Drosophila melanogaster: one gene and its partner. The protein of the gene in region 1 interacts with the protein of each later gene in a pairwise test. Each region holds a gene or a part of one and is shown on either strand. Other genes may lie near its edges. The genes, in order: Mmp2 and frac.

The links.
Region 2: the proteins of Mmp2 (region 1) and frac interact in a two-hybrid assay, tested with the Drosophila melanogaster proteins (one study listed by BioGRID).

What each region holds. Positions count from the first base shown.
Region 1 is NT_033778.4:9,680,853-9,685,715, reverse strand, and holds the start of Mmp2 (matrix metalloproteinase 2), read left to right. Parts: upstream 1-1,857; 5' UTR 1,858-2,783; coding exon 2,784-2,933; intron 2,934-4,863. UniProt on the Drosophila melanogaster protein: Has metalloproteinase activity. Proteolytically cleaves the PGRP-LC receptor; involved in gut-fat body innate immunological communication (GFIC)-mediated activation of the imd/Relish signal transduction pathway.
Region 2 is NT_037436.4:7,560,569-7,568,709, reverse strand, and holds the start of frac (faulty attraction), read right to left. Parts: upstream 6,101-8,141; 5' UTR 6,018-6,100; exon of another isoform or gene 5,702-6,017; 5' UTR 5,632-5,701; coding exon 5,577-5,631; intron 4,543-5,576; coding exon 3,724-4,542; intron 3,662-3,723; coding exon 3,539-3,661; intron 3,471-3,538; coding exon 957-3,470; intron 889-956; coding exon 1-888.

The DNA of each region.
Region 1 (4,863 bases):
TGAATCATTGAAGAGTTACTAACCTCTCGGAACGCTCACACCGAGCCGCACTATCTTGTGTTTCCTTCCGCTGGAAGCTTCCGATAACTGCTTTCTCGCTCCTGACCATGGGTCTGCCTTTTCTATCAAAACTACCATTGAGTAATAGGTGTAACAACATCGAACTGATAAGACGATTTTATATATATTGATGTCGCAACTTCGAAAATTACTCACCTTTCGATGGCCCGACCATGTATCATCAGTAATTTTGTCATTTGTACTTTATTTGGGTCAGCCGCAGATCAAAAATCGGTTTTGCATTCAATTTCGTGGCCAATTAGCACTTGAACCCAAGACCTCAGTCTAAGTTCAGAAATTGCCGGCAAGTTGTTTCGGATATCTGTGTGTACATACAGTGGTGCACGCCACTAAACGATCATGTTTCGAAATGAAATACATTTGAATGTGATAATACCAAAATATGATTTTACTATCTCTTACCCCGTGGGGGTTATATATTTATGATAAACTTGCATTTATCGCAGAACATATACATTTTCAAAACAATCATTTATAGATTTTATAGCATTTCGACTCATCAAGGGACTAGATCTACTGCGGTTCTAGATTGGCTATGATTAAGTGACAGTAAATTGAGTTTAAGTGGACATTGATATTGGATATATCAAGGCTGCTTATGCAAGAGCATTATCAATGACTATTTGGGATTTCCAAAAGATTGTGAATGGAAAAAGATAATCATCCTTTCGAATACTACGTTGAGTAACCGGCAGCGGCTAACATTCGTATTTTGATTCATTCAAAAATATAACCGGCTTGGTGAATAATACTCTGCAGTATATGATAACAAGTACCCAAGAATATATGGGCTTTTTTTTTTTTGATCTGGGTTTTTTATTTTCGAGGGTGTGGGTGTATTCATACTTATTCATAAATATTAGAAATCAAATGTAGCTAACTCATATCGATTCATTATTTTTTAGATTTTAGTTTCCTTTTTCATGGAACTACTCGATCAATCAATATTTAACGCCATCTGCCTTGTGTTTATTGTGCAATAGGCAAATGTCCCAACTTGGCGGAAACGTGTTAGACTGACACTTTTTAGGTAGCCAAAATCGAAGAGTATAAAGTAGCCAAAAAATATTAATATCGAAGAGCAGAGAGAAATATTAATATACACTTAAGAAAAGAACCTACCCAAAGTCACACAGACCAACATAATTTGAAATATTTGAAGCTATTATACTATTTAAAAAAAATTTTGTTTATTATTGTTTTACAATAAAATACCAAAAATCAAATCATAAGAGTATATGGTATAAAATTATAATGAATGTAGCAATAATTTATATACTGCTACCGATTTAAGTTTAAATTAAATTAAATTAATTAAATTACTTTTTTATGAGTCAAATATAATAACAAAGTGGAAAATACATAAATGTCTTTGACCACGGTGTTTGTACTTTCAGTTTTAATATAATTCTTTCATATGTAAAAAGGAAATTTTAAATACATTGGATTTCAGATCTCTAAATAAAAAACTATACAAATACGGATGAACAAAGTTATAGGCTCAGAATTTAAAAAGATTATTACGAAAAAAAAAATGTTTTTTGCTGCCTAATTTAAAATAATTTTTTAAAATCCTTTAGAGCCTCTTGGAATTCGTGCTTTTTCTTTCTGTGCCCCCTTAAGAGCGTGAGACAAGAGCGAGTTTCTTCTACTCTTACGTATTTTCATAAATCAACCGCGATCGCTGGCATATCCGCCCAAATGAAGAGAAGCTACTCTGTATTTTTGTGCTCTTTGTGCCCGCCTCTTCAAGTCGCTTCACGTCGAGGCAAGTCAGCAGTTCAGTCACATTTAGACATCCGCGCGGTAAACCCGCTTTCGGCGGTATAACGAGATTTTTTATTTCGAATTCGACAGAAACAAATAAATGTAAAAAGGAGAAATTGAGATTTATGCTTGCACAAAACACGCGAATAAAAGAGCACCGCCCACTTCTAGCGTTTTCTTTTGTGGGGTGAACAAAGCGACGTAACGGTTGACAGGAATCGGGTAACGCGAATCGGGAATCGGTGTTGGTATCGGGCATATACTAAAAAACGGATGAACAAGGAAAGTCTTTCCTTTGTGCAGCCACTGCGTGCTAATTAATTGTGTTTTTGTGGCCAAGTGGCATTCTATAGTGTGCATTCTATACACACCAAATTTAAATTCTATCCAGCCCAACCCAACTCAACGCCCCCAGCTCCTTGTTTTCCCACCATTCGTATGCGTCATATGTAAAAGAGCGCAAAAGGGCGGAAGGCACAGAGAGAAAGGAAAGCCAAGGAAAGAAGCAGTGGCCACAACAAAGCGGCAAGCACAAAACGCCAGAACAAGAAGCGCCAAACGGAAAAACGGGAATACCCCCGCCCAATCCCCACCGCTCCCCGCCACAACCCATCGCTCCTTCCGTTGTTTTTGTTGCTGCTGCAGCTGTATTTATGCTGCCGGGTATTCGTGTGAGTGCCGCCAATGCGCATGTGTGTCTGTGTCAACCCCCGCGGCCGAGGCGACAACAATAGCAAAAACAACAACAGCAGCGAAACTAAAACAAAAGTGAAAAGTTCAATTCCCAGCTTAGCACTACGAATTGTTAGTCCACCACATCGGTTAATTAAGCCTCGAACATAGAATAAAGATAAATACACAGTTTTGTTCCTACTGATCGAGGAATAGTTTCGTGTCCAAGTGTTTTCGTTGCGCGAGCGAAAGAGAGCGGCGAAATGTTTTCCAAATATGTTCTCGCCACCCTGCTCGCACTCTTTGCGCAATCCATGTGCATCCAGGAGCTGTCCCTCCCACCCGAAGGATCTCACTCCACCGCTGCGACCAGGTCCAAGAAGGCAAAAACCGCTATCTCCGAGGATATAATGGTAAGGCTCCAAATTTGAAAACTTCGATTTTTCCGAACCCAGCTTTTTTAAGCTCTATAAGATGATATATCGTATCGATCAAGTTAGTAAATTTGGGTGTTTATACAAAGTGCATCGACTGAAATGAAAATAATTCCCCAAAATAAAACGCAATGCAATCAATCATCCTACATATATCTGATGGTAAATGCTTAAGCACTGTTTGACCCAATTGCCATTTCAATAAAAATTCATCAATAATTGACATTTGAATCCCTAGAGCTGTTGGAAATCGCACAATGTTTGCAATAAAAATTGTAAAAGCAATTATTGAATGTGACATAAATAATTAAACAATGTAAATAGGAAGTTAAAGAGCAAGAAGGTAAATTAGAAAGGGGACAAAGGAAAACAAAATTAGCCTACAGTAGGCGCATTTTCATTCCGGCGGCTCAGATACTCAATCCGTATCTCCGCATTTGGTAGCAGACAGTAAATCGAGAGGCGGGTTAAGTACAATCGAGATAGACGGATCTGAAGGCCCCCAGCACACATATCCCCCCCTCCCCCTCACTCCACGATGCAGATGCTGCTGTGGCTGCTCGAGCCTATGACCTCAAAATCCCAAAATGCTCTACATATGCATAGACAGCACGAGACGTAGTTATATATCTAACTGTAAGTTAGGAAGGTATAATTTACTTTTAAATATTTGCATGTTGTGTGCTTAGTAGATTAATCTGTTTCCGTAAAATGTTTAAACAAAGGTCCAGTATCAACCTGTGTTAAGTAACTTCAAAAACAACTTGATTGGCATTTCTGGAAACCGTGATATAAGCGAAATGGTAAAGGATGATGACTTATAATACATGGAAAAAAAGAGATTCCAAGTTTCTCATTAACTTCTGATTTTTATTACGCGGAAGAATACACCAGTATGCAACTCACTTCACTGAACGAACGAAGTCCGCCTTACTCGTTCGAAACGCACTGTACATGTGTGTGCATACAGACGCCACGAGATGAGGGCCCCCAGTAGTCTCGGGTATGGCCACTGCAGTTCGTAGTGCACAATGCACGCTTATTGTTTGGGGGCATGCGTCCTATGGCTCTTAATGCATTTGTGGGTCTGCCTCCATCTTTACCCCCAGCCCCCTCCACCCACAACCCTTACTACATCGCCGCTGCCCATGTGGAGCCCTGGCCACTAGGACATTTCCTCGCGAATTTCTGCAGTTAATGAGAGCGGGCGCATTTTTTTTAATCAGAATAACAAAATATGAGCAATTTACCCATTATGCTCGCCTTTTGTTTTTGTTGCTCGTGTGCCAAGGAGTCGCGGTGGCATTCTTTAAGGCGCGCCAGGACATTGAACCCGCGCCACTGACTCACCAGCTCCAGACATGCGTGCCGGCCAGGATGAACTATTAATGTACAGCCAGCCATTGATGCGATTCTCCTCGTGTGGCTGGGCCAAATCTTGGCGTTTATTAAAGTTCGAAAGCCGTAATTAAAGTTCTGAAGCGTTTGCGGAAAATATAAGAACTGGAACTAAGTAGGACGCACATAAGCTCTGTACCACAGATGGTAGGCACCGAAGATTGTATGGATTTTCTCATGAATGTATAAACAACAGAGCTCTAAAATCGCATGCTGCAATAAATGTTCATGCTGAAAATATATGTCGAATATTATTTTAGAATTTCTAGTGGGATCCTTGGATTCTACTAAATTTTTAAATAATATAATATAAATATTATATTACCTATAGTTTGAATACTCCTAGAGTAATGAATAAGATTGAGAGAGTATCCCTGAAACAGTACTTGGGTCGAGGTCTTGAACGACTTGCATATTGTTTATTTAGTAAGGATACCGCTTCCCAGCTGCCCGTTGGATGAGCGAACATATGCCATATAGAGATAGGTATATGCATATGCATATATGGAGC
Region 2 (8,141 bases), on another chromosome or scaffold:
AGTTGGAGGTATCCGAACCCAAATCCACCCGTGTGTTTTCACTAGAAGCAGGAGCAGCACTTATAAGCTTGGATGACTCGTGGAAAAGGGGCTCCAGCCTGAAGAAGGAAGATGACCCAAGTTTCGAGTGCTCTGATGACTCAGAATCTGGGAAAACTTGGAATTTGGTAAAGGAAACTGGTTTTGGAGTTGCATCCAGGGCTTTGAATGCAGGAAATGAGAATGAACTACCAGTGGACAAAGTCGCAAATGGAGCCGGTCTGGGAAGTGATGATCTTGAATAATCAGATATTCGAAACAAAGTAAATGGATTTGATTCTCTAGGTGTTGCAGCCTTAACAGTAATTATTGTGTGACATTTAATTGTGAGCTTGGTCTCCGGATCGTTAACTCTAAAGTCAACCTTATGGACTCCAGCTGGCAGATGACCCTGAAGTTGACCAGCCCAAGCGGGATGGGCGACCAATCGGCCATTCTTAACATTAGTTTGGGGTCTTTGAAGAGTCACATGAGCCTTCTGCTCACCGGCATGCAGTAGGATTACAACATTTTCCGGGCAATTGATATAGGGCCTAATCTGTTCCACATTCTGGATTTGATGAGGAGTCACTGTTTTCGGAGAATTCCACATCGGGGATAATTGATTTCCAAGCAAACCGTTTCCGAATGGCTGACAGTTGAGATCTGCACCGAACGACCAGCCCTGCAGCATCATGCAGGCGGTCAACAAGGATCCGGTGGACACGAAGCCAGCATTGCACTGAAGACGGCAAACGTCACCAAATCGAGATGGACCCTGAGTGCAGCTAGCTGGGAGTATAACTCCATTTTGGGCGGGCTTTAGAGCGGGGCAGATTCCAGGACTCTGTGCACGAGGTTGGTTGATGGCTGCGAAAAGGTACGGAAGAGGTACGGAATGCCAACTGTATAATCTATTACTTAACTTAATGACTCACCAACACACTTGGTTTCGGGCCCCTCCCAAATTCCATTGGCGTCACAGCTTTTGATCTCAGGACCCTGAAGAATATAGCCCGAATTGCATGAAATTCGGCAGCGACTGTAGTAGAAGAGCTTCTGCTTATGGCGATACCTATTGCAGTGGGACTTGCCATTTCGTGGTGCCTGAAATCGAGGGCACAGATCCCTGGGTTGCAACTGATTAACCCACAGACTTTTAGGCACTTCAGGACGCAGGGGAACGGGTGCTTTCGATGTAGGTATGTCAGCAAGGGGCGGAAGCTTTGGAAGACCTTCCCACTTAGGCAAAGATGGAAACTTGGGCTCTGGGTAATCGAACTCAGCTGGTTTCTTGGGATTCTCGGGTATTTCATTGGACAGCTCGGTGAAATCAGGATACTTTGGCGTCTTCAATTCAATTTTGGGCGATTCAGGCAGTGACGAAGCTGTGGGAATCTCCGGCAGAACGGGGAACTTGGGAAACTCGCAGCGGAAGCCTCCAATCTCGTTTATACAGGTTCCAGTGATACAACTAGTCTTGTCTTGGTCACACTCATCGATGTCCTGGCAAGTCTTTTGATCACTATCTAGTTCATAGCCCGGTGGACAGCTGCACTTGAATGAACCCTCGGTATTGGAGCAGCGATGCGAGCAGCCACCGTTCTGCTTCTGGCACTCATCGATGTCCACACACTTGTCGTCCGATCCCAGGGTATAACCCGGATTGCATTCAATTGGAGCACATCCATCCGCGGATCGCTGAGTTCCCGGTGGACAACCCACCAGAGCGGGACTACAGCTACGACCATCGTCGTTGAGTATGTAACCCAAGGGACATCCACACTCAAAGGTACCTGCCTTATTGATGCACTCGTGGCTGCAACCACCGGAAAGAAGGCCGGCACACTCATCCACATCCAGGCAACTTAGCTTGTCCTTGGCCAGCTCATAGCCCCTTTCGCAGGCACAGGCATGGGTACCTAAAAGATTGATGCAGATGTCGCTACAGTTTCCATAGTCCTGCGAGCACTCATCAATGTCGGCGCAACCGAATCCATCTGGAGTTAGCTCGAAACCCGTTTCACAAGCGCAGGCAAATCCCCCAGGTTGATTCAAGCAGAGCTGCGAGCATTGGCCATTGCTATCGAGGCACTCATCAATGTCCTGACAGGTGCGCATATCCTCGGATAGGGCATAGCCCAAGGGACAGGCGCACTGAAAGCCACCAGGCTCGTTCTGGCAAAAGTGGGAGCAATTCCCATTGGCCAGAGAGCACTCATCAATGTCCAAGCATGTATGCGCTGATGGGGTTTCGGATGAGGTTGAATCAGTAATGAATGAGCTGTTTAGTGATGTGACTATGTGGTTATCCAAGCCAAGGGCATATCCCGGTGGACAGAGGCAGGTGTACGAACCATTGAGGTTCTCGCAAAGCATTTGATCACTGCACCCATGAGTTCTCTGCGAGCACTCGTCGATGTCGAAGCAATAGCCGCGTATGCCATCAAGCTTGAGGAGCTCATAGCCGGCGGCACATATACACCCATACGAACCTGGAAGATTTCGGCACACCTGCTGGCAGCCACCGTTATTTACCAGACACTCATCCACGTCCTCGCAACTCTTGCCATCGGCACTTAATCGAAATCCCTCGCGACAGGCGCAAACTCCTCCTCGGGCAGTCAGGCAGATCTGTTCGCATCCGTTGTTGTTCACCTCGCAGAGATTCTCGGCCAAACAGGTGTACTCCTCGACCAGGTTGAGTCCTTCGGGACACTGGCACTGATAACCACCGGGTGTATTCTGGCAAGTGTGACTGCAAAGGTGTGTATCCTCTGCGCACTCATCAATGTCCTGGCAACTGAATGCCTCACTGCGGTAGCCCGTTGGGCAAATGCAACTGAAGCTGGTATTATCCTCACTGGCTAGACAGGTTCCCGGGGAGCACTTTTCAACTCCCTTTTCTGTGGAGCATGGAGATTCTTGCACCAAACAGGAATGCTGATCCTCTGATAGTTCATAACCCTTGGGACACACGCATCGGTAGCTTCCCTCTGGCAAATCCTGGCATTCGTGGGCACATCGAGTGCGATTCAACTGGGGATTCTCCAGATCCGTACAGCTATCCAATGCACAGCTTCGTTGATCTTCGAGCAGGTGGTATCCTTCAACGCAGGTGCAACGGAATGATCCAATAGTGTTCTCGCACTTTTGCTGACAGACTGCGTTATTATCAAGATCCTCAGGACCGTCTACCTCGCACTCATTAATGTCCTGGCAATCAGTGCCGTCGGCGGAAAGTTGAAAGCCAGAATTACATGTTTTTCCGGCGGGTTGTGATTCGGAAACGTTCACTGGGACTTCGTTGGTCTTCTCAATGGGATTCTCCACGACTTCCGTGATCTCGGGATTCTCCTCCAGCGGCTCCACACAGCGATATGAACCTGGCAGATTCTCGCAAGCACCCTGGCAATTCGATGACAGCTCGGGATTCGCACATTCATTAATGTCTGAAAACAAGTATATACCATTTAATGTGAATTTTTTTTCTTTTTAAATATCATTTATTAAAACATACCAACACAACTCTTTCCTGACTCGTCTAAGTAATAACCCTCTTGGCAGCTACATTTATATTCTCCTGGAAGGTTTTCGCAAATTTCCGAACAACCACCATTCGATTCCAGGCATTCGTCGATATCTTCAAAAAGAATAATATTGTCTAGCAAATTCTTTCAATTTAATTATATATAATACACCCACCGAGGCAGCTAGCATAATCGTTAGGATCCAGGGTATAACCCTCTCGACAATCGCACTTATTGATGGGCTGGTTTTCATCTGGATAAAGCAATCGCTTGCAAATGTGCGCACAGCCTCCATTGTCTTCGCCACAATTGTTATCCAAGAATGTTGGCTCATAAGGATCATTGGTGACCTTAACAGATGCATTGCTGGAGTTGAGTACATCAGTTTGGACTTCCGCTTTCAGGGGAGTTTCGTTTTCAAGGACCTCATTTTCAGTTTCAGTCTCCGCTAAAGCAGGTTCTGATTCAACGACTTCATTTGCATGATCATCATTAATTTCGATAACTATTTGTGGTTCAGGCTTGGAATCGGCTCCATCCACTACCGGTGGTGGTGGTGGCGGTGGTGGTTCCCTTTCACTAACCTCTTCATCATCATCCTCATCAATATCACTGTTCTCGACGTAATCGTTGGGCACAGTTTCGTCGGAATAATCTTCCAAATCGTAACCTACTTTCTCGTCGTGTTCTTCAAAATTCAATTGGGGAATGCAGGTGGGTATTTCATCCACCCATTTCTGGTTCGAGCAAAACATTTCTGAGATTCCGTTTTCAAAGTCGTAGTTATCATCGCATACGAAAAAGGCCACTAGGAAGACCTTCTTTCCCCTCCGGCGGCGATCGAAAACGGACACCCTACCATGATTAATCTCCGGCGGAAGGATTTTGGCCGACGAGCAGCTCATGTCCAAAGAAGCAGCCAAGGAGTCAGAAACTTTAGGATCCTCTGGAATATTCATGACATTTTTCCTTTTTCGCTCGGAGCTTGGAGAAGCTAAATGGAAATAGAAATACATTAATTTTTAAGATATAACCAGAAAATTAGCATAAAAGAAACCTGTTGAAATTTATAGGCCTATTTAATAGAAATTCCAGGGATTGGAGACATTAGTTCTAAAAGATTGTGCGATTTTATAACAATAAAGTTGTATGCAGATCAAAAAAAATGAACATGCCCATAACATAAACATAAACGGTTTTCCGTGTTATGCATCCAAAATTATTTAGTGCACTAAAAGATTTCTCACCAGAACTTAAAGGCAATAAAACATTTTATTGTTCGCTCCATACCACAAACAGCTGTTCACAATCACCCAAATATGTTTAAAAAAAAAAGCCCGATTGTATTATCCTAGAATCTTTGCCTTTAAGGGGAATCCCATAAAAACTAGGTGATTCAATCTTTTGAATCGTTGCCAAAAGATATTTCTTTGCCATATAGTCTTCACGGTTTTTTAATTTAATTTGTCATTTTGGGACTTGCTTTGTTTTGATTTACGATCAGTTTTTATATGTTCAGTTTTCATAAAGCCGGCCGGTAATTTGGTGAGTAATATTTCGCTAAAATATATAAGTGCCCCGTGTTAGCCATGACTATTTTGTGTTACACATTTTCCGGAGAACGTGTCATAAAACTATGAATATATGCTCCATTAGCTATAAACCAAACGGTTTTTATGACCATTTTGTGGACATTTTAATGGTCAATATATATACATACATTTCAAAAAAGCAAAATAATCAAAAAAAAAAAATGATTTAATTTAAGGCCTTAAGGCAAATAATTATAATTTCCAATTAAATATTACAATACTCAATAGGTCTGAATTGGAATACATTTTTACATTCTCTATTTAAATCTATTTAAATGATATATTTCGTAATACCCAACCGATTGCCATAATCTAAAGAAGCACAATCCAAACTATAATAATCTTTTACAATCCCCAAAATTCCTTGTAAGCTATCCAATAAATTTCCCATTTCCACAAAATCCGTGAAATATTTTCGATTTCCACCCACACTCACCTGAAGCAAATGCAACGCATGCTAGCGCGCATAAAACATATTTTGCCGCCCACATTCTGCAGCCCTATTTCCGATCCTTATAGAACAGCTGCCACACACCTTTCCACTCTCACTTGTATCGGGTTCTTGGGTTCAAATTTTATAAAAAAGAATACATTAATAAGATTTCACGACATTCGTTTCTTTTTTTTATTTGTTCTCCAACATATTTATGGGAGAAGATCTATATATGTAGCGGCATATAGAGGAGCAAAGCCATTAAGATTAAGGCGGGTTTATAAATAGCACATGTTCAACACTTTTTACATATATTCACAGGTCATTCGTGAAGTAAATGTGTCGGATTTACATCAAACGAAGGCACTTTTTGCAATTAGAGTTCACTGAGAATTTCACTACTTTAATTGATTTAAAACACATAAAAACAGTCTGTATATATACTTCTGTAGTTTAAGGAAAAACCAGGAATAGTATTTTTATTTTGGAAAACGCACCGATTCCGTCGAGAGCCCAGACAAGACTGAGGAGCCAAAGAAATTCTGACTTTTCTCGAAGGGAACGTGAAAACAGTTTTTCGATGTCTCCAAAGATATATATATATATATAAGTTTATGGGTGTATATATGCTGATATTTCATTGATATCATAAAGCAAATTAGTGCGAGAGCGCACAAATGTCACCAGAGGGGGACGCGTAGAGGAAAGCTATTTTTACCCATGGTATTATCATTAGCATTGGGCTGTGATAATTAATGAGGTTCCGTCATCCATTGAACTTGATCGCATTGATCCTTCAGCAGCTGTCAAATGCGGTAGTCTCTAACATAATTTATATTAGCTGGTACTATATAGAATAAATAGTCTGCTCGCTCAGCTACTCTGTAGATTATCACAAATGGTTTTTAATCGTAATTGTAATTGAATACAAAAGGACGTAGTTCGCCTTAAATATAAATAAAGTTTGATACTCGAAGTATTTATATGTCGGACATAATGGATTTACACCCACAACTACCTGTTTCAAATGCAAATACTCATAAAGCATTTTCGGCTCCCACACTCAACAACCGTCTATTCCATCTTTTTCATTTTGACTTTTCTGAATCAAATTTTACTCGTTTATTTACATTTAATATTCTTTTCAACATTTTTATGGAAAGGAAGCTATGTTAAGATGCGTATTAGAGATTAGGGTACCATTAAAAATAACTCATGATTATATTTTTTGATATTCTTTAGTAAATCAAATTGTTTAACTTATAAAAATAACGCGCTTATACAAGGTATGAAATTATTTAAGTATTAAGTATTAGTATTTATTTAAGTATTAAGTACACATAATTTCATAGATTTTTAAAGAGGACCATCAATAAACAAATTGCCCATCTAAGCTCAAGATATTGGCGGAGTGTTAAGAGGTGAAACTTTCGCATGGGGGAGGCCATTACATCACAAGATTGGTCGACTGGGTCTCGAGCACTTTTGCTCTATTGTTGAGCGCATTATTAAGCGCCGCTTAGCTTATGTAATTAATGTCAAGCCAAATGGCAGTGCCAAGAGCCCGAAGTGGAGAGTCTAATGAACCAGCTGCGTGTGCTGATTTATATGCGACTTTTTTAGCTGGTTTGTTTGTACACAAGTATGTTATAGGTCTGTCTATCTGTCCCTCCGTCTGTCTGACTGTTTGTTTGGCCTGGCCAAATTGTGTTTTGTCACCGTCACCATCACGGACGACGTCTCTCGATCGCGCACTTAGGCCTCGTTTATGCGCAGGCTCTGCTCGATACTCCAGTTTCTTGGGCCATGTGAATGTGACATAAGTCGCCGGGTGTACGGCCATGATATATGAATATGACAAAGCGACATGGACAACTTTATTGGCTCATGAAAAGCGCTGTCACTGCTTGACTGACATAAATCGCCGAACGGCAGAAATAGGCATTCAGCGCCACAAGAGCCAATCGATTGCTGCAAAAAAAAAAAAAAAAATTGTCCAAAAAAGTGTTTGGCCAAAATAAATCAAAAATCAATCTTTTCGAAGGGCCCCTCGACGATCATCTCTGTGCGGTGGTGTGGGCCACAGTGAAATCTAGCGCAATCGAGCGATTTGCATAGGACAGAATATGCCGAATCGATTGCATAGTTCTTATCTGATTGGAACTGTCAACCCAAGCGGATATTTCGCTTCATTCATGGGCACGGACAAAAACTCATATGGAAATTAGAGCAACAATTGGACATCGTGCAACGTTTCTAAAAATAATAACCGTGTGGAGCCTTCATTGACCAACAGACAAACACACAAGCCCACGTCAGGAATGTTAGCAAGCGAATGCACGCCACCTATCGGGCGAACTGGGCGTATCCCGACACGCTACCCCCTCACACACACACACACACACACACACACACACACACACACACACACACACACACACACACACACACACAGATTTTCGTATCTGAAGCCTTGTTCTTCACTTTCCCTTGTTGTGTTTTCACTTTGGTGACGGGTACTCATAGGCTACCAGGGTATGCCAGCCATTAAGTGATGCTCAGGATCGG